3 linked regions of the Lonchura striata genome follow. The protein of the gene in region 2 purifies or fractionates together with the protein of the main gene of each other region. This does not show direct contact. Links are inferred from orthologs where the notes say so. Each region holds a gene or a part of one and is shown on either strand. Other genes may lie near its edges.

The links.
Region 1: the proteins of TOM1 (region 2) and CUEDC1 purify together in Homo sapiens (co-immunoprecipitation; 3 studies listed by BioGRID and IntAct, with this or other methods). This does not show direct contact. The link is inferred for Lonchura striata from reciprocal best matches to the Homo sapiens genes TOM1 and CUEDC1.
Region 3: the proteins of TOM1 (region 2) and ZFYVE16 purify together in Homo sapiens (affinity purification with western blotting; 3 studies listed by BioGRID and IntAct, with this or other methods). This does not show direct contact. The link is inferred for Lonchura striata from reciprocal best matches to the Homo sapiens genes TOM1 and ZFYVE16.

Annotation. Positions count from the first base shown.
Region 1 is NC_134622.1:10,698,259-10,707,665, forward strand, and holds the start of CUEDC1 (CUE domain-containing protein 1), read left to right. Parts: upstream 1-5,228; 5' UTR 5,229-5,342; coding exon 5,343-5,633; intron 5,634-6,099; coding exon 6,100-6,227; intron 6,228-7,022; coding exon 7,023-7,140; intron 7,141-8,878; coding exon 8,879-9,050; intron 9,051-9,407.
Region 2 is NC_134607.1:22,433,367-22,442,972, reverse strand, and holds the start of TOM1 (target of Myb1 membrane trafficking protein), read right to left. Parts: upstream 3,982-9,606; 5' UTR 3,908-3,981; coding exon 3,856-3,907; intron 1-3,855. Other genes in the region: HMGXB4 (HMG domain-containing protein 4), read right to left, coding at 7,238-7,282, 8,859-8,981.
Region 3 is NC_134642.1:86,167,046-86,177,072, reverse strand, and holds the start of ZFYVE16 (zinc finger FYVE domain-containing protein 16), read left to right. Parts: upstream 1-5,757; 5' UTR 5,758-5,870; exon of another isoform or gene 5,871-5,925; intron 5,926-6,991; exon of another isoform or gene 6,992-8,413; intron 8,414-10,027. Other genes in the region: CCDC125 (coiled-coil domain-containing protein 125), read left to right, coding at 814-921, 1,891-2,059, 3,311-3,429, 3,506-3,599, 3,696-3,955.

The sequences.
Region 1 (9,407 bases), on a different chromosome or scaffold from region 2:
GCTGGGGGACCCAGCAGCAGGATCCTGCTGCATCCCGGCACTGGGGGGAATGTGGGTGCAGCCCTGCCTGGCTCTCACAAGTGTCCCCCCAGGTTTTAGAGGGTGGTGTTGGTTTAAGAGCCAGCTGGGTGCCGTGCACGGCCGACATCTGGTGGGCTCACAAAGGGCTCCCATAAATCTGTCCGGGAGGAGGGTGGTGGGAGAGCAGTGGGTGCCCCGAGGCTGCAGCTGCATCCCTCAAAGGAGGATCCTGAGTGTTCAGAGTGCTGCAGTGGCCAGGGCTCCCCAGAAAAGCTGTCGGTGAGACCACCTAGGCAGGAATGCTGACGTGTTGGGATTGGGATCACTCCCTGGCTCTCCCAGCTCCTCTGCACTTGCCCTCGGAGCCAAGAGGGGAATTTCCTGTTGCAGAGAGGTACGTGCTGCACAGGTTCCCAAGCAGGGCTTACTTGTGCTTGCCTCCTTGATTGCTTTTGCTTTTGAAAAGGGCTTAAACCCAGCCATTTTAATACTTGGTAGAACAAGTATTAAAGGAGATCCTCAGGTGCTTATTTGTTTCCATGAAAAAGGATTTGCTGGGACCAGTTTTCCCAGGCTGTAGGCCCAGGAGGGGTGCACAGCATCCCCTGAGGCAGAGAGGAAGGTAACAAGGAGATTTAGGAGAGACTGGTAGGGCCCCATCCTGCACATCCTTGGCATGTTTGGTGCTAGAGAATAGCATCATTTCTGTTCCTGATCATATACTTTTCATCCTAATTTCAGTCCTATTATAATCACATATGCAGCTGCTCAGCAGTCACATTCCCAGACTTCTCGTTCCCACATTGAGCAATCCCCTTGCAGGGGCCTGGCTACAGCAGAACTCAGCACATCTGCTCTGGACAGAGCCATTCCTTCTAGTTTAACATCCTTGAGTTTTGAGACTTCTTCCAAGAGTCTTCCCTCCAAGAACTGGGGGAGCTGTCAGCCCTTTTCTCCAAATAATCCTGTGCGTGGAAATGCTTCTGCACGTGTGTTCTGCATCCCCAGCTGAGGCACCACAGGCCTGGGCTTGCAGCCACCACGGGATGAGTGCCCTGAGGGCTGGGGAGTGCGGGGCTGGGGGACCCCACACTCGGTGGGGTCACCCCTGTCCTGGCTGCAGAGGGGGGTCCAGGCTCCGGCGCGTTTTTGGGGGATCCGTGAGCACAGCGTGGCAATAGCAGGGGAGAAGGGGCTGGGCAGTGTTTGAGCAATCCCATCTGCTGTCTGAGCCACAGCAGACTCTGGGGAAGAGAATATTCTGGTCTGCACTCGGTGCCAAGGCTCTTCCCCGAGCAGGGAGGGCTGGAGCCGTCGGTCCCGGGGATTTTCCAGCTGCTGGCTCCTCCGGCGGGGCTGAGCTCCGCGCCCAGCCGAGCAACTGCTGCTTCCAGCGCCACATCCCCGGCCTGACCCACCCCCGGGATTATCCAGCTGCTCTCCCGGGCAGCTGAGGCCGGCAGCCTCTCCAGAGCTTCCCCTCGGGCCGGGGAAGAGCCATTTTTGGGAGGTGCCGAGTGCCTGCTGGGCTGGGTGAGAGCAGCCGTACCCAGGCGGATGCCAGGGGCACAGGAGGATGTTCTGCCGGGCTGTGAGCATTATCCCTGACTGAGCTCTCCTGGTTCTGCTCTTGTCCCTGGCTCTGCCAAGGGTGGCTCCGAGTTGTGCGGGTCACTGGCAGCTCGGGTGGCAGGAGAGCAGGGTGAGCCCCTGGGCTGGCAGCGGGGAGCTGCCCCCCAAGGCCAGCTTGTGTTTGGTTGTATTTTATGGGTTTGTGTGGTGAGCCAAGGGCAGGGGCTGCAGCCAAAGGTGTGCAGTGAGACAGCAGTGGTATGGAAGTGTCCTGTGCTACCCTGGCACTGACACCAAAACACAGCATTTTCAGTGCCAGCCCTGTCCCAGCATGTGGAGGCACTTGGGAAAAAGCTGGTGTGGTTGTGGCATTGTGGCAGCCCTTCCTACCCCAGTGCTGCCTCCGTGCCTGGCCCCAGCCTGGCACGGGATGTCACCTGGAATTTTCTCCGTGGCACAGGTCACTGCCAGGACAGCCACCCCTGCGGGATGCTGAGGTGGCTCAGCTGGGGTGAGCCAGGACCAGGCTCTGCCAGGACAGGAGGATTTACCCTGTGCTGCCAGGGCTGGTGGTGGCACAGGGGCAGTGCCAGCATCCCTGCTCTCTGTGACCCGCGGGACAGGGACACGCAGGCCAGGAGCTTGCAAAGCCTTTAAGCTCCTCCTGTGATGGGCGCAGCAGAAGGGAGAAGGATTATGCCTGTGCCTGGGTTTGGTGGATGAATAACAGCATTCAGGGTCCTTCTGCGGATAGCAGAGCGGGAGCTGTTGTCAGGCAGGAGAAAAGTTGGTGAGGCAGCAGCCAAGGAGTCACCCCAGCCTGGTTCTGCACAGGGGCAGAGAGCAGAGGGGCCCAGCCTGTGCCCGAGTGTGCCTGTGCCCACGCATGGACTGCAGGCACACGCCAACTTCTTCTTTCCTTTTTGGGAAATCCAACGGATTTTGCTTTTCCTGGCGTCTTCCCAGCCCCTCACTGACATCACAGAAATAAGGGCCAGGAACAGGTTCAGCCTCTTCCCCAGCTGCCCCCCGGGTCCTGCTGCCCTCCCCGCTGCTCACCTGAGCACTGCTGCGGGCACACAGGAGCTGGGGGGATCTGGAGTACAGCTGCCTGTTGGTCTTCAAAACAACTCCTGCCAACAGGGCCACTTGCTGCTTTTCCCTGGATTTTAACTCATGCTGATGTAGTGATTTGCATTTCTTTGGATTAGCAGCAGGACTTTGAAAAATGGGTTTAAAAGCCTTCGGGGCATGTGAACTGCCCTGGTCTGCCAGCCCCGAATTCCTGGGGTGTATCTCAGGGCAGGGAAGGTCCCAACACATTCCCTTGGGGCTGTTTGAAGCCAGATGTGCAGTGGAGCCTTTCTGGTGTGAAATATCTTGTCCCCATCCCTAATTTTGTTCATCTTCTGACCGGAAGATTTCCATGGCTCAGCACGTTGCTGTGCTCAGTGCCACTGTCCAGCCCTTGCAGGGAGCTGTCCCAGACTCTGCAGTGTTGACTAACACCTCCCCTGAGTTGGTGTTGGCAGCAGGAGCCCAAAGGGCTGGCAGGGGGATTGCCAGTGCCTGGCACAGCCAGGTTACAGGGAAGTCTTTTAATACACACTCAAAAGTCAAATGCTGGGAGACAAAGATTCCCCAGCCCAGGTACTTTGGTTACTTTATGGAGATCTGGAGAATCCCAGCCTGATTTTGGGGGTTATTTTGCTGTTTGAGGTTTATGGGCTGGCACAGCATTGGTTCTCCTCAGAAGCTCTCATATCCATCTGTGGATCATGTGTGTGTGTGTATCCAGTATAACCCGTGTTCTCATGTGTGTCCAGGCTCCTTCCCCATCCTCTTGGAGTAGCCAAATCTTGTAAGGAGGTGTGTACCCTGTGAATGTGTTACAACTCAATTTAATACGTGACCAAAGCAGCCATGCAATATTGCAATTAAAGCCTAATTCCAGAGGTGTGAACAATGCTGGCTCTTCACTGGGAATGTGTCAGGGGAGCGGAGGAGGAAGCGAGCAGCAGTGTTTTATTAATTGACTCCCGTGGATTTATTTGTCCTCAGTGAATGGAGCCGGGCAGAGCTGTCGGAATTGTTCCTGCTCTGCTCGCACAGCGCTGCTCCGTGCCTGCCTCCTGGCAAGCTGGTCCTGGGCACTGAGACTTACTGGGATGGAGACAGTTCCTGCCTGAGTGACCAGTTAGATGGGTGTTATCAGTGAGCAGGAGTGAGCTGGGGGCTGCTGGTGCTGTTTGGAAATGGCCCCTTGTGCCTGACAGTGATTCTGCAGCAGCTTTTCCCTGGGTCCTGTCCTGCCTGGGAGAAAATGCCACAGGAAGGTGGCACTGGATGGCCCTGGCACCGTGCACTGGTGCATCCAAATGCAAATGTTTCCAGGATTACAAAAGCCAGGGAAGGAGAGCAGAGCATGCCTGGAGCAGGAATCATCCCTGTGATTCCTCTGGTACCAAGTCAGAGCAGTGCTGTCCCTAGGGATGAAGGTGGGGGTAAATTAGCAGTGGGGCAAAAAGTGAACTTCTCCCCGAGCTCCCGCTGAGTTCCTCATGTATTACAAGTGTATTTGGTTCTAGCAGCCTCTGGAAGTTCCTTGGAGCAGCTCAGGGCTGTGGCTGGCACAGGGGCTGAGGGGACATGGCTGTCACACATGGTCTTGCTGGGCAGGGGAGAGCCCAGGTGACCTTCAGAGGTGACTGCTCCTCTTAATGGCTTGGAATCTGATTATACCATTTTGCTAAGAAATGTGCTTGGCACGTTCTACATTAAATACCATTTAGGGACAGTTATCCTGAACTCTCTGCCTGCCACTTAGGAAAAAACCCTTGAAAATGATATTATGGATCGAAAGTGTTCCTGAGGTAATTCTGTTTCAAACAGTGGAGTTAATCCAGAACTGAATTTGGCCCTGCATTTTCAAACGAGAAGCAGTAGCTGTATAATCTGTTTATGGTTTTAAAGTGAATGTTAATCTTGGATTTGGTAGCTTTTCCAAAAGGTCGATTTGCCGTGCTGCAGAGCATTTTAGCCCCCTCCTCTGACACTCTCTGAGCCGACTCCATGTTTTATTTTAAAGAGTGATTTTACTGTATTTATAAATACATGTCAAACCTGGAAACGTTAAATCTGGGCAGCCCTCAGCAGTGGAAGCAATGCCATTTTTCTTGCCTTGCATTTTGTTGGTGCAGATCCTGGCATGGCACATCCAGGCTCCGGCGTGCCAGGCCTGCTGCAGGGACGGCTCAGTCCCACGAGGATGCGGTGGGATGGGTGGGATGGAACCAAATGTCCTCTGCTGAGACAGGAGAGCCTCTGGGTGCTGTCCCTGGGTGCTGTCTCTGGATGCTGTCCCTGGGTGCTGTCCCTGGGTGCTGTCCCTGGGTGCTGTCCCTGGCTGACTGTCCCTGGGTGCTGTCCCTGGGTGCTGTCCCTGGGTGCTGTCCCTGGGTGCTGTCCCTGGGTGACTGTCCCTGGGTGCTGTCCCTGGCTGACTGTCCCTGGGTGCTGTCCCTGGGTGCCGTCCCTGGGTGCTGTCCCTGGGTGACTGTCCCGTGTCCCCTCCGCAGGTGGGAGGATGCAGCCGTGCGCCGGGGGCTGACGCGCGGAGCCGCCGGCCGCGGGGAGCGGGACCCCCGCCGCCCACCCATGGTCCCGGCTGGCAGCCGGGGCAGCCCCCGGTGAGGAGGGGCACGGGCACAGCCGGACCGCGGGCACCGAGCCCCCGCAGCCGCCCCGCCATGACGAGCCTCTTCCGCCGGAGCAGCAGCGGCGGCGGCTCCCGCGGCGGCTCCTCCGCCCAGGAGCTCAACAACAGCCGCCCCGCCAGGCAGGTGCGGCGCCTGGAGTTCAACCAGGCCATGGAGGACTTCAAGACCATGTTCCCCAACATGGACTACGACATCATCGAGTGCGTCTTGAGAGCCAACAACGGCGCCGTGGACGCCACCATCGACCAGCTTCTGCAGATGAACCTGGACGGCAGCGGCTGTGACGACAGCTCGGACTCGGAGGACAGCATCCCGCCCGAGGTAACCTGCCTGGGGCTCCCCTGTGTGGGTCACCGTGAGCGGGCACAGCAGCCCCATCCTGCCTCCTCCTGCCTGGCCACGGTGCTATTCAACTGCTGCAGGCAGGCAGAGGTTTGAGTACCCGGATTGGCTGGGCTGCTGCACCAAAGGTTGTCTTGATTGATCTTCAGGATCAATCCAAGTGCTCTCCCTGCTCTCCCTTGCCCCAAAACCCAACAGAGACCCTTCTGCTGCTGGCAGAGAGACTCCCCAAGGCTGTGTGCAGCATGGATAGGCTCAGCCACCATCTCCCCTTGAAAACAATACCTCCAAACTCCACCAAAACCCCCCAGTGCCAGCAGGTTGCCCCATCATCTGCAGCAGCATTCAGCCTGTGCCATCCCTGTTTTGCTGCTGCCCGTGGAGCTCTGGCCCACTGGGGACAGCATTTCCTGTCCTGCCCTCACCCCATCCTCTCACCCTGCAGATCTTGGAGCGGACCCTGGAGCCGGACAGCTCGGACGAGGAGCCCCCTCCCGTGTACTCCCCTCCTGCCTACGAGAGCCAGGTTTTGGGCAGCCGCTACCCCCGCGCCCCACCCACCCCCCCGCCCAGGTGAGCCCCAGCCCCGCACTCCGCTCCTGGGGCACCCTGTGCTAGCACAGGGCCCAGGCTGCCATCAGCCAGCCCTGGCATGGCCCTCTGGCCCTGCTCCGTACAGGGTCCAGTGAGACAAAGCCAAGGGAGATGAATGAAGCTCACAGCTGGCTCAAAAATCCCTGTGAGGCTCTAAAACACCAACAGCTGAGGGGCCGGAAAGCCGCTCCGGCGGCTGTGGAATGGCAAAAATCAGCTCCGGGGGCGGGCAGCGCTCGCTGCTGCTGCTGGAAAACACCAGGTGCTGGGCAGCCGGTCCCACGCACCACACACCTCGGCTGGCTCTCCCTTGGCCCCTGGCAGCACCGCTCTGGCTGGAGCTGTGGAGCTGTGGGTCAGCAAGTCTGAGCCCTGGGCACCTCTGTGCCAGCCCCTGCCCTCTGTGCAGCTGCGTGTGACACTGGGTGAGAGACGTTTGTCAGCTTTGTGGGCAAATCCCCGCAGTGCTGGGGCTCCACCAAGCTGCTTTTTGGGAGTCTGAGTGAAACACGGAGGAGAAGGAAAGCCCAGCCTGCAGAGTTGCAGGGCAAGGCTTGAAATGCAGCTCCCAAATATTCCAAACATTCTAGGAAAGCTTTCACTCTTCAGAGCCGATGCTAACGCTGCAGGCTCGGGGATGTGCTGGGGTTTTGTGGTTTCCAGCACTGCTGGCGGAGCTGGGCAGGCTGTGCTGTGCCAGGCCCTGTGCCACGCTGCCGTGGCAGCGCTGGGGGCTTTCTCCTCACCAAAGGTGCTCCTGTGCTCGCCCCGCAGGACGGACGTGCCCGGCCCCGGCAGCGCGGCGCACTACAGGAACTGGAACCCGCCGCTCCTGGGCAGCCTCCCCGAGGACTTCCTGCGCATCCTGCCCCAGCAGCCGGCCCGCGCGCAGGTGAGGCTTGGCCACCCCTTCCAGCCTGCTCTGTGCTGTGGCATGGGCACCATCCCAGTCCTAAGGCACCCTCAGCTTGCAGCATCAGCACGCTGGGTACCAGGTGTGGACTAACCCAAAAGTTTTGAAGTGTCTCCTGTTCAAGAGACTGAAGTGGGCAAGGTGTGAAAGAGCTCTCAGCAAAGCTTTGATATTTTTCCTGCATTATCCCAGTGATTAGTGCCAGAAATGCCACTTGCCATATGCACCTAATATTTTCAATTATTTGAAAATGTTTCCCACTGCTCTGGTGAGAAGCACAGGACCAGTAATGCTCCTAAGGAGAGCAGCATTGCCAGAGCACTTCAGGACAGCTGCAGTGGAATTTGGGTAGGACACCTAGTGCAAGCAAGAGGATTTGCCCCTGGGAAATCAGAGCCCACGTGTGCTCCGTGGTTGTTTTAAGCCACAAAGTTTGGGTGCCAGCAGCAGGGCAGGCAGTGGGTAGCATCCCATGGAGAACAAGCAGCCCCAACACATGCTGAGCATGCTGCTCAGCTCCAGACACAATTTGGGGCATCTTCTGGCCCTTTGCTATCACAGGAACCCCTAAATGGGTCCAGCACCCTCCTGGCATGGAGAGGGCTGGGGGGGCTGCAGGCACCCTGCTCCTCGCTGCTGTTTCGTCTGCAAAGGCAGCCTGCCACGTTTGCATGAATGATTGCCCTTCCAGCTGAGCTTCACGGGCTCTATTACCTTTCTGGGAATAGGAGCCTGCCAATTCATTTGGGCTCAGGGGGAGGAGAGGAGCAGCTGCCCTTTTCTTTCCCCAGCAATTGTGTGCTTTTGCTTTTTATGGCTCTCTGGGAGCAGCTACAAATCAGATAAATATTGTAGGCAGGGATGAGGCTGTGCCGCAGCATGCGGCTGTGCTGCTCCCCAGGTGTGAGGTGTGACAGTGCCTCGTGCAGGGACGTTTGTCAGCAGGACACTGCAGACTCTGCTCTTTGGAGATGGGAGACATGCTGAGACCCTTCTCGTACCTGCACACCTCTTACACCTCTGCTATGGCACAACCCCATGGTTTGGAGTTAAACATCCCTGCCAGCCTGTGCTCTGCTGGGGTTCCCATGTTGGATGTCTGTCCAAAAGGTTCCCATGTGGGATGTGTGTCCCAAAGGTTCCCATGTGGGATGTCTGTCCAAAAGGTTACCACGTGGGTGTTTGTCCCAAAGGTTCCCATGTGGATGTCTGTCCAAAAGGTTCCCACGTGGGATGTGTGTCCAAAAGGTTCCCATGTGGGATGTCTGTCCAAAAGGTTACCACGTGGGTGTTTGTCCCAAAGGTTCCCACGTGAGTGTCTGTCCCAAAGGTTCCCATGTGGATGTCTGTCCAAAAGGTTCTCCCGTGGGTGTCTGTCCCAAAGGTTCCCACATGGGTGTCTGTCCCAAAGGTTCCCATGTGGATGTCTGTCCAAAAGGTTCTCCCGTGGGTGTCTGTCCCAAAGGTTCCCATGTGGGTGTCTGTCCCAAAGGTTCCCTTGTGGGTGTTTGTCCCCCTTCCCAGGGGCTGGGCTGTCCCCCTTTGTCCCTTTTGCCCTGGGCTGTTGGGCGGAGGAGGGAGGCACCGCTCTGGGAGCAGCTCTGCCATCGGGGCTGGGGAGCAGGGCTGTGGCAGAGGGGCAGAAGGCCGAGCTGAGCCCGAGGTGCCGCTGCAGGGAGCCGGGAGCAGCAGCCGAGGTGCCCGTTTGCCTCCGCAGGGCGCGCGCGGCTGCCGGCAGCCCGTGGTCCCGCGGGGCCAGGGCTCCCTGGAGCAGGAGCGGCGCTGGAAGCAGTACCTGGAGGACGAGCGCATCGCGCTCTTCCTGCAGAACGAAGAGTTCATGAAGGAGCTCCAGAGGAACCGGGATTTCCTTCTCGCCCTGGAGAGAGGTGAAAGGGCCCTTTGGAAACTTCTGCTTTTTGGGTGTGTGCCCTGCTGTGACCCTGCCTGCTGGCAGCCCGTGGGATCAGGGCTTGTGCCAAAGCAGAGCCAGTACAGGATGTGACCGGGAAGGGGGCTGGGGGTCTGAGCTGCCCACACTGCAGGGCTGCTCCCTGGACTCCTGCTCTCCTGCCCCTTCCCACCCCTCTGCAGCATCTCTGGCAGAGTCCATAGCAAGGAGCTTTGGAAATGGCCTCTGAGCCCTCCCCAGCCCTGTCATGGTGCTTTGCAGGGTCCTGGCAGCACTGTCATTGCAGGTGGCAGGAAAACCACGGGTGTGCTCCTCGTGTGCTTGTGGTGGGTGG
Region 2 (9,606 bases):
TCCTCCAAGTGAAGCCTTCAAACAGTGCTCCCTGCAGTGCTTTTTGCTGGCTCTAAGTTCCTCAGCAAACCATCAAGCACCTTCTCACCCATTTCAACAGGCGTCTGAAGATATCAGCAGTTCATTGCATGAGACAGTTCAGGTCAATGCAATGCAAGATGTCTCTTCTCCCAACTTCCCTTCAGTTCACAAACTCACAGGCCCAAATCAGCATCCTGTACAAGCTTCATGCTTTTACTTCTCTTGAGGGAACTTCAGCACCAGGTCTGTCAGGACTTCACCATTGAGCTGTATCTTTCCCTCAAAGCCTGAGAGGACAGAGTGCATTCTAGAGAGACCAGAGATACAGCTTTGGACACAGACTGTGCTGACATAGTGGTGTGGGTATGTGTGTCTCTGAACTCCTGCTCCTTTCCTGTGAATCAGCTCAAATTCTCAGGGATCAAGTGACTCTTCAACTGCTGCCTTTGCCCCTTTTCCTCCAGACAGAGGAGGCACAGAAGACAAGGCAATGCCTTTTTGAGAAGCACAACCTTGCAGGGACCTACAGAGGGGTGCAGGAACACCTGCAAAGTGGGATCCAAAAGGTTGTAGGGATTTTTCTGGTATATTGTTTTGCATCTGCCTCTCTTCCTCACCCAGGAGCCTTTCTTACTTGCTTTCTCTTTACAGTCTCAACTTTTCCTGGTCCTCATGCTTAAAATAACCCCAATCCATAAAAAACATCTCCATGCTACACTGTTACTTCTATCCCTTGACTGCTCTCACTCACTGAAATAACCTGCCTCTGTCCCTTTTGGTATTGCTATAATTACTAGTTATTTTAGACTTCCAGGGTGAGGAGAAAGCATTCATGGTTTCTTCTCCATTCTCTCCCTCAGAGACAATTCACCTCCTTGGAATTAGATTTTCCATTTTGAAAATGGAAAAAAGCTTCTCTTAGATCCTAGATGGAGGCATAGTGGATTTCCCTTTTCAGAGGGGAATCTGAACTATGATGCTTTATCACTCTTTGAAAATTTTCCCACTGGTGTTTAAAAAAACCCACCACACAACAGAAACAAATACAAAAACCCCCAAACAAGCAAGTCTGTATTCTTCTTACTTGGGAAGAGACATCATGGTGCAAAAACAGGAGAGGCAACTTTTGTGACTAAATCTCAGAACTGTGAGTAAGAAACTAGAAAACCTACTCCTCTGCAACTGACTCACTCTGTGACAGATCACTGAGATTATCTGAGCATTGCTTTCCTAGTCAGCAAAATAAATGGGTCTTACTAGATTAACATTAATGAAGGAATTTGAGAACGTTACTGCAGTGGCCACAGAGGACTTTTTTTTCCCTTAGCCTTCATCTAAAGCTATTTTAGACTTCATAAGCTGTATCAAGCATACATGACTTTGCCCAAATAATTTACAAGGGCACAGCATTATCTTTCTGCAGACAGCCCAGGGCAATAGCACTGTGCAGGTTTTGTGATCAGGCTCATGGGTTGGACACGCAGCTGCCACAGACCTACCAAACGAGTTTGGGGGAGCCATGTTTGCATCCCAAATTAAGCAGGGAAGATAGCATTTATCCACATCCCCAGGATGTTGATAGGCAATGTTCAAAAGGAGAAAATAGTAATATTTTCAATCAACACCCCTTTCAAGTCCTCCACAGGCTTCCTTTCTCATACACTGTAATTCCTCCACCTCTTTGAACTCCCATAACCCAAATCAACCCCCAGTCAGTAAGATCTCCCTAGTATCACACTTCTGCTTCTCAGCTCCTCTCAGACAACACTTTTGAAATATCTTTTCTTTTTTCCTCTTCTTTGCTGCTTGGTTTGTTGCTTGGGAATTCCTTATTTAATTGAAACAAAGCCTAAAGGTATAACCCACTTACAATCTGGTTGCTAAACTGACCAAAAGATCTGTGAGGCAACATTCAGATTGCCTCTACCCAAACACAAGGACATATCTGATACACTCACTGAGGGAACAAAAAGCATTCATTCAGGAAAGGGCAGGAGATGGTTTCTCCTGGAATGTCTGATGAAACACGTGATGTTCTTCTGAGGGTATGTTGAAGATTATCTGGAGGATTTTGATAACAGTTTTCCCTGATGATCCTTCCACTGCCTGGCTGTAATGCATCTCACCTATCAGTCCCAACAGCAGAGTGGCACATCACAATACCCCTGACACACTTTGGGACAGTGTTAGGGTAGGTTCTAAAATCATTATAATAAAAGCATGACTTAAAGCAGCTGCTTACACTCTTTCCATCCCTGGCACAGCCTCCTCTTCACCTATGCAAGGACACCAAAAAGACTGAATGTGGGACCAGATGTTCACAGCAAATAGCAAAGGTCTGACAAGCAATGATCAGCAAGAATGAGCAACTGCATAAACGTACAAGTGGAGAGTTTAAATGGGCATCAGCCTTCAAGCATAACTTCAAGGCCCCCAGGCAACACAACATGAGAACAGAGAGTCTTCATTCTAAGCATTTTATGAACTGCAGCCCTGTTCTGACACTAGTGCAGCTGTTGACGGTCTTCTTCTCTCTAAGTGCGGCATCTTTGCTCTCCTTTCTCAGGCCACCTCCTTCTCCCACGTTCCCCAAACTGCCCTGAGCACAGGGACTGCAGGACACCAAGTGCCCGTGGGCCTGCCAGGACACAGGGCGGGTGCTGTTCATTGCCCGAGCTGGTGCTCCATGCTGTGAGCCAGCTCGTGCTGCAGGAGCCAGGGCATGGCCCTGCCAGGCACCGCTTGTCCCACAGCTCGGGGCGGGCAAACACTCCCAGCTGCCCAGCGCTTGAGTCCTTCGGGCAGGGGACACTGCTCTGACTGGGCAAGCTGCATACCCCAGGGCAGCCCAGCCTGAGGCTGCTGTCCCGCAGCCCCGCTGTCCCCGCAGCCCTCACTGACCCTGTCCCTCAGGCCCGCTGTCCCCTCAGCCCCGCTGTCCCCTCAGCCCCGCTGTCCCCTCAGCCCCGCTGTCCCCGCAGCCCTCACTGACTCCGTCCCTCAGCCCCGCTGTCCCCTCAGCCCCGCTGTCCCCTCAGCCCCGCTGTCCCTGCAGCCCTCACTGACCCCGTCCCTCAGCCCCGCTGTCCCCGCAGCCCTCACTGACCCCGTCCCTCAGCCCCGCTGTCCCCTCAGCCCCGCTGTCCCCTCAGCCCCGCTGTCCCCTCAGCCCCGCTGTCCCCGCAGCCCTCACTGACCCCGTCCCTCAGCCCCGCTGTCCCCGCAGCCCCGCTGTCCCCGCAGCCCCGCTGTCCCCGCAGCCCTCACTGACTCCGTCCCTCAGCCCCGCTGTCCCCTCAGCCCCGCTGTCCCCGCAGCCCTCACTGACCCCGTCCCTCAGCCCCGGGGTCTCGCGGCGCCCCTCGCGCCGCCGCGGGTCACGCGCCCCGTTCCCGCCCGGACGCGATAGGCTGCCCTGGCTGGAGCCCAGCCAATCAGCAGCACCCCGAAGCCCCCGGAGAGGCGCGTGCGGGAATGGCTCCAAGCCAATCGCGGGGCTCGGCGGTGCCGGGGGGGCGTGGCGCGGACCACCGGCCCGCGGCCCCTTTAAGCGCGCAAACTTCACCCCGCCACCCCCGAGACCCCCTCGCGCCCGGATTGGCTGGCGGGGCCCCCGCCGGAGCCGCCTCGGGCTGCGCGCCCGCTATTGGTCGGCAGCACCCGTCAGTCAGAGCAGAGCTCTCCTCTGATTGGCCAGCGCGCCGCTGGTCCCGCCGCGGAGGCGGGGGCCGGCGTTTCCCCGAGGAAGGGTCCGGCGGACGCCCCCGGGAGCGCGGGCCCGGACGGGCGAGCGGGGGCGCGGGGAGGGTCGGGGGGCGCGGGTGCGGCTCTCACCGATGCGCTGCCCCACGGGGGAGCTGAAGGGGTTCCCCAGCAGAAAGTCCATCGCCGCCGCCGCGCCGCGATCAGCTGACGCTGCCGCCGCCGCCGCTCACGTGACCCGCGCCGGCCGGGGCGGGCCCGCCGGGCCCCGCCGTGACGCCAGCGGCCGCCGCCCGGACCGGCCCCGCCGTGCCGCGGGCGGAGAGGCGTGCCGCGGCTGCCGGGCAGGGCGGTGTGTGCAGGCCGACGGGTCCCCGGTCCTGCTGGCCCGCAGCCCCGGCCGCAGGAACCGAGGGGCTCCCGCCGCCGAGAGCCTCCGCCGCTTTCTGCAGCCACGCCGAGCTCGTCCACAGCACCCGCGAGCCTGAGCGATGCCAAAGCCCTGGAAAGCCCGTGGGGATGAGTTTTTCGTTTTCCATAGCCCAGTGGGAGTAGGAAGGACTCCCGACACTCCCGGTACGACTTAGGAAAAAATTCTTTACTGTGAGGGTGGTGAGGCACTGGGACAGATTGCCGAGTTGTGGATGTACCATCCTTAGAAGTCTTCCAGGCCAGGTTGGATGGGGCTTTGCGCAAATTTTTTGTGGAAGGTGTCTCTATGGCAGGGGTGTTGGAAATGATCTAAGGTCCCTTCCAACCCAAACTATCCCGTGACTCTACACAGGGTGGTTGGCACGTTCTGGGATGTGCTCCTGGCCTAAGCAATTGCCCTGCCCAAGCTGAGGCTGCAATCAGCCAACACCCATACCTGGAAAATGGGGACGTGTTAATAACCAGCACAAATCTCGCTCTAACGCTGCCACGCCTGACTTCCTGCATCACACACTCGAGTCCCGTGTACTGGTGTCACCTGAATGCCATGAGGCTGAACTGAGGTGAGGCGGCAGGGAAGACAAATGCCCTGGTGTTACCTGCAGTGCTCCATGCTACATCTCCCTTCTGGGGGGTCCCAAGCAGTCAGGAACCCGAGCGATAATTTGGGTGACTGGTGCTGCTGGAAACAGCTTGCCTGCCAAGTGAGTGAGTTTAGGAGGGTTAGGATTGGATGTGTTTTGCTGAGAAACACCAAGTAGTAACAACAGTTGCAGAAAACAGCACATGCCAGAAATAAACAACAGTACTCCAGAAGTTTAAAAAAAATTATATTGTAAGTACAGTACAAAAAAGTCTGTGTATAATTGTAATGTAATCTGGACCAAACAGCAAAGAAATAACAAAAATATAAAAACTGCTAAGTCTTGACAAAGTTTCCCTACAGTACCAAATACCACAAGATACAGATTATACAAAGTGTACAAATTTTAATAAAAATACAATTCACCAGGTCCTGTGTGTTTTTCACTCTTCAAGAGTTTTCAGTTGTACAGAGGACAAAGCTGAAGTTGATCCTCTTCTGTTTCTTCAAAAGCAGATCTACCTCTTCACCAAAATGCTCTCAACTCTGAAGGGCTGGAAAGAGCTGGTTATTTTGTGCTGCTCACAACAGCAGATGCTTTAGTTTAGGCCAGGATCTGAAGCAGGATTGGACTGCCTCCCTCCTGGGCCCTTCCTGCTTCCAGGCCCATTGGGATTTGTCCTAAGCTGTTAAAATGGGTTCTGGCCTGGTGGTCTGAGAACCTTCCGTGCCTCCTCTGCTGAGAAAACCCCTCACTGCACTGAGAAAAGATCTGTAAGAGACAGACTACCTTATACAGGCACATCTGGGCAATACGTGGCAAAGAGGCATAGAGAGAAGAACCCTCCACACCCCAGGATTTAATTTACTTCTGATTTGGGGCTCAGCCACAGTGAGGGACAGCTCACTTTCAACTGTCCTAAGAAACAGAAGCTAGATTTACTTGGAAGTAAAAAATGCCTCTTCTTTTATTTCAAAACTTTCCTGTTACAGAGGTGATAAGGCCTGAGTCAAATAATATTTCAGTTGTTCTGCCCACCTTCACAAGATAGCATGTTTCTACAAACTCTTAGAATCTTCCTGGTGCTTCTTTACACAATGCCCATGCTTACTACTATACATAGAGTTGATTCCTGCAGGAAGTGTGCTGAGAAAAAACTTGATTCACATTTTTCACGCACTGTTGGCTGAGGGAGGAATTTTTGCTTTTAAATTATGTATATATATATAAATATATACACACACACACAGAGAAATATACAGGATAAATTAAAATCTGTTACAGATATTGGTAAAAGTTAAATACATGTGATATGAACACCACATACACATACATACACACAGACAAAAGCCTAAACAGGAATCAAGTGTTCTCCTGCTGCTCCTCTTCCAGAGGAGCAGAAAACCAAACTCCAGGTATGTGGCTGGAAAGAAGAGAAACCAGTCCAATCAACCCACATGTGCCTTACTTGGCCGTTACTGCTTCAAACTGGCCACTGGTCACTGCCTTGAAGCAGCACCACAGTTCCTGCAATAGTGCTGGTGAGAGAGATGGGGGATGAGCCATTTCACAAAACAGGTGCAAGATGGGCAGAAGCAATCCAAGTTTTTCCCATCTGCTTCTCTACTCCTTTCCATCAAAGTACGCTAATCACGCCATGGAAAAATCAGCAGGAGGTTCATTTTCTCAAGCCAATGCAATGGGTTGATACATTGTGCTAATGATGATTTGAGTATGAGTCCATAAGAAAAAAATAAACTTCTTGTCATCTACTTCACTTCAAATACCAGATACCAGACCAGCCAGCTGATAATGTCAACTTTCAGTTATTACTGTCTGAGGAGTAGGGGTTGGAGAAAGCGACCAAGAGGCAAAAAGCTATCCAGCTTTCCCCTCTATAAGTGTGTTTTAAACAGAAAGAGTTACAAATAGGGCTGGTGAAGAATTCAGTTCTATTCCCTGGTCCAAAATGTATCATCTCTCCCTGCCCACAGAGTATCAGAATACTTTTGTTTTAGCAGGGATATCAGGAGATCATCTGGTCCATCTCCCTTCTTAAAGCAAGTCCAACAAGAGCAGGCTGCTCGTTCAGTTTTTGAATATTTTCAAGGAAGGCAAGTCAAGAACCTCTCTGGGCCACCTGTTTCAGTGACCCCTCTCATGGTGACTTTCCTTCTTGTTTATATCGGGAAGTCCATTCTCTGATTGTTTCCCCCACTAAATCTGAATTTAAGGCAAATATCTCAAAAGCTTGCTGAATTCTTCATACAAAATACTTTCAGATTGGAGGACATTTCACCCACCAACACAAAAGGGTTTTTTCAGCTTAACTTCACAACTTTTTATAAAACAGAAGTCAAATAGTTACAATCCTATGTATATACTGTACATATATAAACTTTAAAAGCCTCCACATGGAGCCCTTCGGGAGCGCTGGCATAGTGCACATACACAAGTCAGTTACGCAGAGGTTGAGTACATCCCAGGATCCTTTCCCATCAAAGTCCAGGCATGATGTAGGCAATGTTGTCTAGTGTGTTTGACTAGGAAAAGAAATTTGGTGTTTTTTTAGCATCAGGTAATAACTCGAAATCCTTAAAAAATGGCATAGGTGAGGGTACTAAGCAGTTACAAGTTGAGTTACAAGTTATCATAGGATGAGATAACCAAAGCTGCCTACTGATCACCTTTAATAGGGTGTCAGATGGCAAAAAGAAGTGCCCTTCAGTTTTTCTTGGAAAATGTAACAGAATTCTGAGAATCCTTCTCATGCCCATCAGAAAAAAAGACCCAGCTGTATGTTTTTCAGATGCAGTGTTTCAGTAAGATCAAGCCCGTGGCTAGATAGCTGAGGAGGCCTTAGGAGGAGCACCTTTAACTGAGAGATGGAGGAGGTGGAGCTGCACCAGTTGTGATTTTAGAATTTACAATGCCACCTACTGTCTCAAATATAAATTGCAGCACAACTGCTGGGGTTTATCGTGTCTCAGAACACCACTGTCATTATGTATCTGACTGTGAAAATCAGATTATCAGCTCTTGAACAGGGTTTCCAGAAGTGAAGCGTAACTGCCATAATTCACCTAAAGCTCTGTTTCTCCTTATAACAATAACTTGATCGAGTTTCTAATAAACACACCACTGGTCATGTGGTAACTGCTCTGAATAAACTTGGCAAGCAGGAAGGAAAAAAAGCATCAGTTTTTCCATGGCTTAAGATCGGAACACCCCACTGACTCAGCTTTTGTGCACAGAGCCAGTTTGTGGGTGTTCACAGACTAAACTGTCAACTTTGTTCCTGTTGTTGATAGTCCATTCTTGTAATGAATAAACGTTTGGGCTGCCCTATTATGATATGTCAATTCATATCTCATTTTTGTTGCCCCCTCTGCTGGATATGTTTTTAGTCTCTTAACTTTTGCAGACTGTATTTTTTAATTTTTGCTCCTCTCCTTTGCTGCTTTATTCACGTCTCCTGTAGGAAGTGTGACTCATGATGGCTGCTGCCATCTTAATCTATGTTCACATCAGGCTACACAGATGTCATGAGCTGTTGCTAAATCAGGGCTCAATATGAAGAGTAGCTTAAAGAAGAAAAGAAACTGTAGTTATGCAGCTCCTTAAGACAGAGATTATTTTTCTTTGCTCAGAGAAGGTTTCAGCCACTTGTAAAAGGTCCTACACCATCACATTAGGAATCCTGAGATCACAAGCTGTTTTTTAAGCTAATGAAGGAAAAACAGCTTGTGTGATAAAGAGCAGCTAGAAGGTGGGCTTTATTTTATGGAAAATTAGAACTTTTGAAAATACTGGTTTACTTTTATTTGAGTCACATTGATTGACTCCATCATGACTAAAACAGGACCTACCCGCACTGCAATGAATGCTACAAATATTAGGTCAGTTGCCAGTGGGAGAAAGAAAGGTTGCACAATATTGTACAACGGTAATATCTGTAAGAATTTCAATAAACATTCCTCCGTAAAAGCCCATGACCAAGACAAATTCTCTTATTGCATTGGAATTATAATTATATTACACTGATTAATCAAAAAAAGCTCTATTTGGACTTTACTGAAATTCACAGTGCTAGAAAGAAAGTAACCACAAAGAACTCACCAAAACATGCTTTGGGCAGCCATTCAACTCAGGCAATTGTGTGGTCAGACATGCCAACGGGCCCAAAGCACAGATGATTGAATCTAGGAGTACTGACAAACTTCCAGAAACAGCCACCATTCCCTGGCAGTGACGGAGGAAAAAAATTGGAAAGGGATGAGTAGTGGAAATTGAGCTTCTTTCTCAACTGTATCCACTCTCAAGCAGATACTGTATCTTCAGCCCTCCAGTCCACTTCCACTATTTACACAGTAACAGAACTGTGCCTTGTGCTTCAAAAGACTGCTGGCTCAAAAAATTTAGAGTTCAAGAGGCAATGAACTGGTGCAAGATAAAAGCAGGAATCAACAGAAAACACCAGGAAGTTGTCAGTTGCATAAAACACTGATTCTACAAATTTTTGTAATATATTTTCTGTGCCATTTTGTACCATCTATTTTGTTAACTATGTGAGTCCTAATGACAATAACTTTTATTTTTGAAGTTAAAGAAATGCTAAGCCTCTAACAGATGTTTTAGTCATTTATATACTTTCTGTAAAGCGAGTTTTTCTGTGTGTTTTTCTGGGCCTTGGTTATTCCTCTTAGGATGTCAAATCAGTCATACCAAAACCAAAATGCAAGAACATTTATTTCACTGTTGATAAAATAAGCAAGCATAGTGGGGTGCGATTGTCATGCTACTCATAAAACTCAGAGATATTATTTGAGACAAATATGTTTTCTCCTAAGAGGCTGGGCTGAGTTCT
Region 3 (10,027 bases), on a different chromosome or scaffold from region 2:
TTAAAGCCTCTTGCTCCTGTTTTGGTGAGCCCAGCAGTATCCCAGTGAGGGCTGCAGGGTGTGGCACACCCCGTTTTCAGGGTTTTGCCTGAAAACGCAGTTCTCCTTTGGACTCAGAAGCCTCCACCCCCCACAGCTGCTCCTGGTTCCAGGGGGGTTTTTTACTGGCACCTCTGCGAGCAGATCCTGGCTGTGAAAAACACCAATCGCTTGTTTTTTAAAATCTTAGGAGTTTATTAGTCATAAAATAGTTATTAAGAATAAAATGAGAGTAATAAAAATTTGGACAATAAAGATTAGGACATTAGGAGACAATAAAAAGCAAAGAATATGGACATCCGGATGTTTTTTGGCACTGAGCTGCCAAAACCAGGCCTTGTGAGCAAAGGAATAACCGTAAAAGCAACAGCCTGTTGACTCATACATGATCCATAAAATCCTTGCAAATTAAGAACTTTTCTGGTTTTTTTCAACTCCTTCCCCTTAATCCTGGTGGTTCCACAATAACAGAGAGAAGGTGGAAGGATGTTTGTCTTTTCTGATAAGGAGGCTGTAACTCTTCAGGTTTTGTGTTGCTGTTATCTCTTTGTGAAGAGTTTCTTGATTATCTTATCCCTTTTCTTGAGCTACTAAAAAATATCTTATATCACAGAGTTCCTGTTTTAACATTATTTTATAACCTCAAACTATCTTTAACACACTACTTAAAAATGATTAATACAGTATTACAAAATATAGTATTAACATTTGCGAAGAGCCTATCATAAAATATGCATTTTTCACCCTGGCCTCTGGTTTGCTTTGGGTTTTCAGCTGGCAGTGCTCGGAGCCTGCACCTGCAGCCCTGCTGAGGGGCAGCCCTGTCCCTGTGCCAAGGTGGCAGCTCTCACTCGGAAGCAACTCCTTCATCTCAAGCAGCAGGTGACAAGGCTGGCAGGGTGGGGACAAGGAGGGGGTGCTCCTGCACCAGTCCAAACCAAGCCCAAAACACCCAGGCACTGCTCTCACAAACTCTCACAACCACAGTGGATCTCAGAAATACTGTGAAGTTTGTGATGCTTGTAATGCCATCATTTTTGCTGGTAGAAAAAAAAAAGTGATTATATCTACTCAGCTTTACTAGTTAAAAAAAAGAAAATTGCATTCTTTTCCCTTCTCCCCGTATTTTTTATATGAAAAAAGAGAACATGCCCTAAGGGTGTGTCCCCCATGAATGTGCACACTGTGCACGTGGACTGGCACTGAACCTTCCCTTCCTTCCTGGCAGTGCCTTCCACCCCTCCCTCGTTGGCATCAGCACCCACAGCCCGCTCACTCAGCTAGGGCAGCAGGCTGATCTTGCTAGAAATACCTATTTATCTCTCACTTAAATCAGTGACGTGAATTCCAGGCTCCTATTTTTTTTCTATTAAGTGAAATTGTGCAGATTTAGGATTTCTCTTCTAATCTGTATTTGACTCTGCAAATGTGGTAGCCATCCTTGTGGTCCTGCTGCAGAACTTCCAGCTGACCAGCCGGTTTTGAAAATAGGTGCTGGCCTGTCCCTTATGATCCCTGATATGGATTGCAATCTCTTGCTCCTTTTTCTCCAGGCCTGGCTGGAGGAGACATTATTTTTCTCCTTGAGCTCTTGTACATATGCAAAGATAAATAAACTCAGAGATTATTGTGTAGGTGGCTGGGGGTGTGAACATGTGCAGACAATGAAGAGCAAGGACTTCAATACACATTTCAAAATGCATTTCTTTACATGCCAGGAAAACCCTTTGGTTCCTGCTGCTTCCTTGATTATATTTACTTGCAAGCTGTCTGCGTCTTAATATTCCTTTCAAATCTGTTTTGCTTCCAAAGCAGCTAACGCGCTTTAAATTTCCCCTGACTGAACCCCAGGTGGAGGATGTGAAGAAGAGCAGGGAAGAGGCATATCTGGTGGCGGACGCCTTCCGGACGGCGTTTGAGCAGCAGCTGGGGCAGAGGCAGGAGCAGGCCCTGCGGCTGGCAGAGGCGCTCGGCGTGAAGAAGGGAACCAGATCTGGCAGCTGGCGGCGGCAGGGCGCTGGTAGCTGGGCAGTGCCTGGGGCTGGCTGGTCTGGACACGTGCTGGGGGCTCAGCTGCTGCCCGGGCTGGTTTAAGGGCTGCCAGCAACTGCTCTGTCTTTTGGGTTTTGTTTTTTGTCAAATTAGTTCTGCAGAAGAGGTGGGGAAGGCGAAGAAATGCAAAAAAAATTTATAGCTTGAGGTTTTTTTAGCTCCAAGTGGGGCTTGAGCAGCCTGGTCTGGTGGAAGGTATGGAGCAAGATGAGCTTCAAGGTCTCTTCCAAGCCAGGCCACTCCATAATTCACTGGAGTACTAAACAGTTGTGGTTTTTTTTTTCTTAAACCCCTTTATCTTTTTATTATGCATGTGTATTGATATTTCTGTTTATTAGTGTTCTTACACTAATGCAGAGTTACAAAGCCCTGTGTAAAAAGAGGAAGATTTCCAATCTGTAAAGTAGGAGTAATTCTAACAATCTTCTATTATTAAAAAAAAAAATAGAGGGATAATGAGAGGTATTTGAGTGCTTACATCATGGTCAGAACCACTGCAGGCTTTAGGAATGGCACAATATATTTGTTTTGACCATTGGCAGGAGCTTAGAAGTGTGATATGTGTCTCCCAAATTCCTGGGGCACTCCTGGGGTGTAGCTCTACAACAGCACAACCTTGAGTGTCTGTTTCCCCTGTACTGGCCCCATTGCTTTCAGGCTCCATTACCTGGCACATCTGTTCCGTAATTTTAATGTATTTTACCATTCCTGGAAATCTTACAGACTTCTATGTGGCCAGTGTCAGAGAATCTTTGGGGTTTTTTTTCAGCTACTTAGTGTTTAAAAACAAATTAATTTTACCATTCCTGGAAATCTTACACACTTGTAGGTTGCCAGTGTCAGAGAATCTTTGGGTTTTTAAGGCTACTTAGTGTTTAAAAACAACCTGCTGTGAATTTTACCATTCCTGGAAATCTTACACACTTGTAGGTTGCCAGTGTCAGAGAATCTTTGGGTTTTTAAGGCTACTTAGTGTTTAAAAACGAACTACCGTGAATGATTGTTTACCTAGAGCGTGAAAAGTGTGTTTTTCACGGAGCAAATTCTCAATTTGCCCCCGTGCGAGGTCTGCGCAGCGGGAGCAGGGAGACGTGCCGAGCTGCGTCTGGTGTTGCCCTTTTCTCTGTGACTGCTCAGCTCCAGTTGAGCAGTGCTGCTCTATCCTGAAGCGGTTTCCCCTCCCGGAGCAGCTGTGCTGACGCGGTTGTGTTTTCCGCAGAGGGCGGCGAGCCCAGCCTGGGCCGGCGGCTGTCCGGCCTGCTGCGGTCAGCCGGGGACGGCAGGAGGGTGCGGGAGCTGGACGACGCCCAGGAGCTGCTGCGGGTGCTGATAGACCTGGTCAGTGCACGGCTCTCCCTGCGGCGCGGCGCGGCCGCGGCGCGCTGGCGCTGAGCGCTCTGCTCTCCGCTGGCAGGTGAACGACAAGGAGGAGGCCCTGGCGCACCAGCGCAAGGTCAGCTACATGCTGGCGCGGGCGGCGGAGCCCGGCCAGGCCGGGCCAGGCTGGCGTTGGCTCGCGACCCCCAGCCCTGCCCGCCCGGCTCGGGCGGGAGCGGCCGCGGGGCCGCCGAGGCCACGGTCCTGGCCCTCTGCGCTCCGCTGAGGAACGGCGCCACGGCCACGTGGAAAAGAATGTTCTGGAAATACCAGGAGTGGCCATGGGGCCGCCGAGGCCACGGTCCTGGCCCTCCGCGCTCAGCTGAGGAACGGCGCCACGGCCACGTGGAAAAGAATGTTCTGGAAACGCCCTCTGCGCTCGGCTGAGGGACGGCACCATGGCCACGTGGAAAAGAATGTTCTGGAAACACCAGGAGTGGCCATGGGGCCGCCGAGGCCACGGTCCTGGCCCTCTGCGCTCGGCTGAGGGACGGCGCCACGGCCATGGGGAAAAGAACGTTCTGGAAACGCCCTCCACGCTCGGCTGAGGGACGGCGCCATGGCCATGTGGAACAGAACGTTCTGGAAACACCGGGAGTGGCTGTGGGGCCGCCGAGGCCATGGTCCCGGCTCTCCGCACTCGGCTGAGGGACGGCACCACGGCCATGTGGAAAAGAACGTTCTGGAAATACCGGGAGCAGCCGCGGGACTGCCGAGGCCATGGTCCTGGCTCTCGGCTGAGGGACGGTGCCACGGCCATGTGGAAAAGAACGTTCTGGAAACACCGGGAGCGGCCGCAGGGCCGCCGAGGCCATGGTCCTGGCTCTCGGCTGAGGGACGGTGCCACGGCCATGTGGAAAAGAACGTTCTGGAAACACCAGGAGTGGCTGCGAGGCCACCGAGGCCATGGTCCTGGCTCTCGGCTGAGGGACGGTGCCACGGCCATGTGGAAAAGAATGTTCTGGAAACACCGGGAGCTGTGTGTGCTGTGGTGGTGTCACTGCGGGGATGATGGCGCAGCGTGGGCACAGGGGCGGGAGTGGCTGTTTCAGCGGCACCACTGGGAGCATGTGTGGGCTGCGCTGGCAGTCCCTGAGGGAGTGGCGGTGACGTCACTGCATGGGGTGACATCACTGCAATGGTATGATGTCACTGCAGGGGTCTGATGTCACTGCAGGGGCGTGATGTCACCAGAACAAGGACAGACAGGTCTGCACAGGCAGGGCTGGTGCCAGTGACGTCTTGCTGTGGAGGGTGTGATGTCACCGGAATGAGCAGGGCCTGGGTGGGGCTGGTGGCACTGCAGTGACATCACTGTGGAGGGTGTGACATCACTGTTGGGGGTGTGACATCACTGTGGGGAGTGTGATATCACTGTGGGTGTGTGACATCTCTGTAGGGGGTGTGACATCACTGTGGGGGTGTGACATCACTGTAGGGGATGTGACATCACTGTGGAGGGTGTGACATCACTGTGGGGAGTGTGACATCACTGTGGGGGTGTGACATCACTGTTGGGGGTGTGACATCACTGTGGAGGGTGTGACATCACTGTGGGGGTGTGACATCACTGTGGAGGGTGTGACATCACTGTGGGGAGTGTGACATCACTGTGGGGGTGTGACATCACTGTAGGGGATGTGACATCACTGTGGAGGGTGTGACATCACTGTGGGGGTGTGACATCTCTGTAGGCGATGTGACATCACTGTGGAGGGTGTGACATCACTGTGGGTGTGTGACATCTCTGTAGGCGATGTGACATCACTGTGGAGGGTGTGACATCACTGTGGGGAGTGTGATGTCACCAGAACAGGCAGGGAGCAGGGCCTGGGTGGGGCTGATGGCGCTTCAGTGATGTCACTGTGGAGGGTGTGACGTCACGGTAGGAGTTGTGACGTCACTGGAACGGGCAGGGAGCAGGGCTGATGGCGCGGCAGTGACGTCACCGCGGCGCGGAGGGTCTGACGCCACGAGACCCAGGCGGGAGCGGCGCCCCCTGGCGGGGGTTACGGGACAAGGTGGGGGGCGTGACCTACACGAGAGGCCCCGCCCCTTTCCCCCAGGCCCCGCCCCGGTGGGGGTCAGGCCAGTCGGCGATCCGCCCTCATGCACTGTCAATCACGGACGCGACCACGCCCATGTAGCAATACCACGCCCCCTCACGCTGTCCGTCTGGCGTTTGGCCCCGCCCCTTCCTTGGGGCCGTGGCGGGGCGCGCAGGCGCGGGCGGGGCCGCGCAGGCGCGGGGTGGGGCGGGCGCGGCCGCGCAGGCGCGTTGCGCGCAGACGAGGGCCGAGGCCGCCGCCCGGAGCCGCCGGCGGGGCCGGGACTGGGAGCGGGACTGGGAGCGGGGCGGGCCCTGAGGGGATTCGGCCCCGAGACGGCCCCGAGCCCGCCGGGTGAGGTCGGGGCGACGCGGCTGTGCGAGTCTGACCTCTGCCTGAGGGCACCTGGGTGGGTGGTTCGCCCCCGGAGGTTTCTGCGTGTTGGTGGTGGTGTTGCTTGCTGCGGTTCCGCTTGTTTCTATATACGGCGTATCGAGCATGGGATATGTACAGAGAGCGCTGTGTGGGGTATGTGGAGAGTGTATGTGGTGTATAAAGTAAAGTAGACGAGGTTATTTGGCAGGTTGTGCAGAATACATATATGGCACATAGAGCGGACAGTGGTGCACCGCACACTTAGAGAGTGTAAAGCACTTTGAGTCTGTGTTTAAATCCGAGCAGAACCGGTCACTGGCAGCCTGTGGGCAGTGCGGCAGAGGGTCCAGCCGGCCGCCAGCGCCGGTGCTGCCGGTGCCGGGTGGCGAGAGGCGAAGCCGGGCTGGTGAATAACGCAGACCGCGGGGAATGGGGTGCGGAGCGAGCAGCGCTCCCCTGCCTGCCGCGGTCCCTTCTGCAGAGCTTTCTGTGCCCGCATGACAGCCCCTGCCTGCTGCGAGTCAGGGCCGCTCTGCCTCCCAGTGCCGCCTCCAGGCTGGCTCACAGCAGGAGAAAGAGAACAATCTGCTGGAGGGGCCCAGGGAGGCACAGGGAGGATTCGGGCTCTGCAGCATCTCTGTGCCGGGCTCGGCCCGGGCGGGCTGGAGCAGGGAGCCGAGGGGGGATCCCGTCCGTCCGTCCCACCCCTCCCAGGCTCCCTGGGACAGTGCCAGGGAGGGCTGCGGGGTCCCTGTGTGGGACATCCCAGCCCAGCTGGACACGTCCCCGAGCCCCTGCCCAGGGGAGCAGCTCCAGAGGAGCCTTCCAGCGCTGCAGTAATTGAGGCAGTCCGCGATTCTCTGGGTGCTGTGAGCAGTGCTGCTCCCAGCTCAGAGGAGCAGGGTGGATGAATGAACAGAAATCCTCAGAAGCTGAAGGCGATGTGGGATGGAGCTGTGCGGGTGTAATGTCATCACGCTGCTGGTGGAGTTCTGCCCTTCTGAAGAGTCCATGTTTCACTCACAGAATAGCATTCCTCAGACAAGACAGCTTGTTGTGCTCTATCCTGTAAGCTTGTCCTTATATATCTGAAAACTTCAACAGCTTTTGGTTCACCCCATGGTTCAGCTCCTAAACCTGCTGTGGCAGCAGCCACCTCAGCTTTTGGTTTACACAGTAAGTTGTTCTGCTCAGCAAGAATCATTCTTGTTTTTATTTAAATTTTTCACACACTGTTTGTGCAGTTGTGCTGAACTTCATCAGGTTGATTGCTGATGGGCTCTGTGGTCAGCTGTTCCCTAAAACTTTTTGTCATTAGGGCTTCAGGCCTGTGTGTGGGTTCATGGGTGTTAGGGAGGGGGCTGAGAAGGAAAAAGCTGGTAATGAATTCCTTCAGTACCCTTGATGCTTTTTCCTTGGTCTTAGAATTGTTAGACATGGGTAAGGGATAAAAAGGTTTTTATTTTGGTATTTAATTAGGATTTTTATGGTGTAACAATTTGTCACATTGGGCTGTACCAAAATGCAAACTGTAAAATTTGCATGTACCAAAATGCATACATATGGTAGATGGTGTATACAGTTTTATAGGTTTTGTAAACTAGTATATTTAACAAAGACATTTCAATGAGAGGTTTAAATAAATAGTGTGATTATTTTAATGTATTTTTTCTTAGATGGGCGTAACAAGTGTTTTGGAGGGGTTTCTCAAGATAATGTTAGGTTTTCTGGCTTCTGACTGTGAGGCTTTTAGAAGTTTGGTCTTTTGGCTTAATAGAATACCAGGATTATGTTAAGGTATTAGGCTTAAGGAATTACAGTTATATTAAGGATACTGAGACCTCATAAAAGGTATATAAAAAGAAAAGACAAAAATCATCATGGCAACACCCATGTGCAACACCAGTGAGGGAGAGGGGGCACACAGCAGTCCATGAGTGTTTCACTGTGAGCTTGGTGCTTAGTGCCCATGTTTATATTGGAGATTTTGTTCTGCCTGCGGTGGTTGCTGGGGTGGTAAGGTGGAAAATGCCATTTCCATGCTTCCACAGTCCTTAGCTCAGCTTTCTGCTCAGGCTAAGCATAATAATTAAACACTGTGGTGGAGCTGGACATAGCCAGCGAGCCAAGGGACTGCAGCTGTGGTAGTCAGAACTGAGGTGGTGGCCATCCTGTGGTCACCTCTCTGGAGGGGAGACCCCTGTGCCCCTGCTTGTGTGTTCCTTTGCCTCTAAAGCCCAGCTTGGGCTCTTCTGGTATGTTTTGTGTAGAAGCAGGCCTGGCCTCTGCAATGGGGATTAGCTGCAGCAAACTGTGGGTGTGGTGGTGCCCATATGTGTGAACACTAGAGAGTGGTTTTCAGGTGTTCTCAGACATCAAAAGGTAGCTTGTCTTCAGACCTGCAATGGGTTGGTTGGTAATAATTAACCTATCCATTCTGTTTTGCAAGTTACCACCACTGAGAGCTGTGAAGTGCCTCCTTTTACAGAGTGTATCTGGGAAAAAGCCCTGCAATCCATCCTGTAAGTTGGCCACCCCCAGCAGCCTCGTGTTATCTCCTCCTTGAACTAAGAGTGTGCAGAGAAATCCCCAGTGCATGTTGGTTTTGGACTCTAGAATGTGTGTGCCTGTTCGGTTAGAAGGGATAAGTGATTTATGAAGGATTTTAAGGAAGTGTTGAGGTCTGTGACACATTTTTGAGCACCCTGTCACGCTTGCAGTCATCGAGATCTCAGGATTTGCATTCCACAGTTAATAGTTAACAGTTTTAATGAGGTGGAACTATTGCCTCTGTCTCTTAGGTCTGTGTGGTGCTGTGCTGGGAGTGTGTCAGACCATTTGTTGGAGATCTAAGATGAGCCTGTTTCGAGGTTTATCTGGAGAAGTGACATGTCCAGTGTGCACTTTTTTGTAGTACCTTTTGTGCTTAGATGATTATTTTCCCATTTTGAAGCAGACTGCTATTTTACCTTCAAGTCTCCTCCTACGTAAATATTTAATCTATCTTTATCTGAAAGCATATGGTCTTTAATAAACAGTGATTTAAATATAATTTTAAAGTTTTTTTGAACTATGAAATGGAGTGGTGAGAGCCTAAAATTTTATGTCTCCTTGCACTATTAGGGACTTATTGCCTCAGATAAAGTTATAAGCATATGTTTATTTTTAAAGAATACTAATCTGTGAGCCAGTTTAGAGTGTGTCTAGTGACTGTATTCAGAGCTCTAAAAGACAAATTCAGAAAACACAACTGTGCCTGGCTAAAAAACGTATACAGAGGTGGTGCTCCTGGTTTCTGATAGTTAGAATGCAGTGTAATTCTTCCGTTACAAGTATAAGCCTTAAAGGAATATGCTCAGAGCAAATGCATTTCGCTAAAGCACATGGTTCCTCCAGACCCTCCACTCAGGGAAGCAAGCAGCCATTTAATAAAAATGTGTCACCAGAGCTTTTTCATAGCTTCTAATCCAATAATGTAAACACTGCGACAGGCTGCAGGCAAATCCAGGCAGCAGAAAATAAAACTTGTTCCTCTTGCTGAAAGAGGATTTGAAACATGAGAAACTAGAAGGCTTTTACAATTTTTTGGTGATGCAGACACCAAAGTTGGGACAGGGGGGTACTGCTGCTCTGCCCTGTTTTGGGGGTTTTGATTTTGTTGTGGGTTTCAGATTTTTTTGCTTGTAGGTCTATTGTAGAAAGATGAAAAACCTATGAAAAGTTTGAGGAGAGTAATGAAATTAAGAAAAATACACATGCTAGTTTTTCAACGTTAGGTTAGTACTTTACGAAATCAAATAACCATTTTATTTAAAAAATAGATTTAACTAAACAAAGCAACATTGCTGGGTTGGTAGACTGAGGTATGATAGTTTGTTGAGCTCTCTGTAGAAGTGAGCTGATCTGTATTAAATAGATGTAAATATTGGCATATGGTTTTAGTTCTACAGTTCTTTTCATTGAGTTCTTCCTTTTTCTGGAGAGTTTAGTGGGCCAATGCTGTACAGCATCAATGCACCCTTCTAATTAGCATTATAAGCTAAAAATAGTGTTGTTGTCTAATAATGCCCTTATGCTTAAATGAGAAGTTGTTGTGTGACTCAAGTGTGCAACACTGTGAATATTCTCTAGGCCTT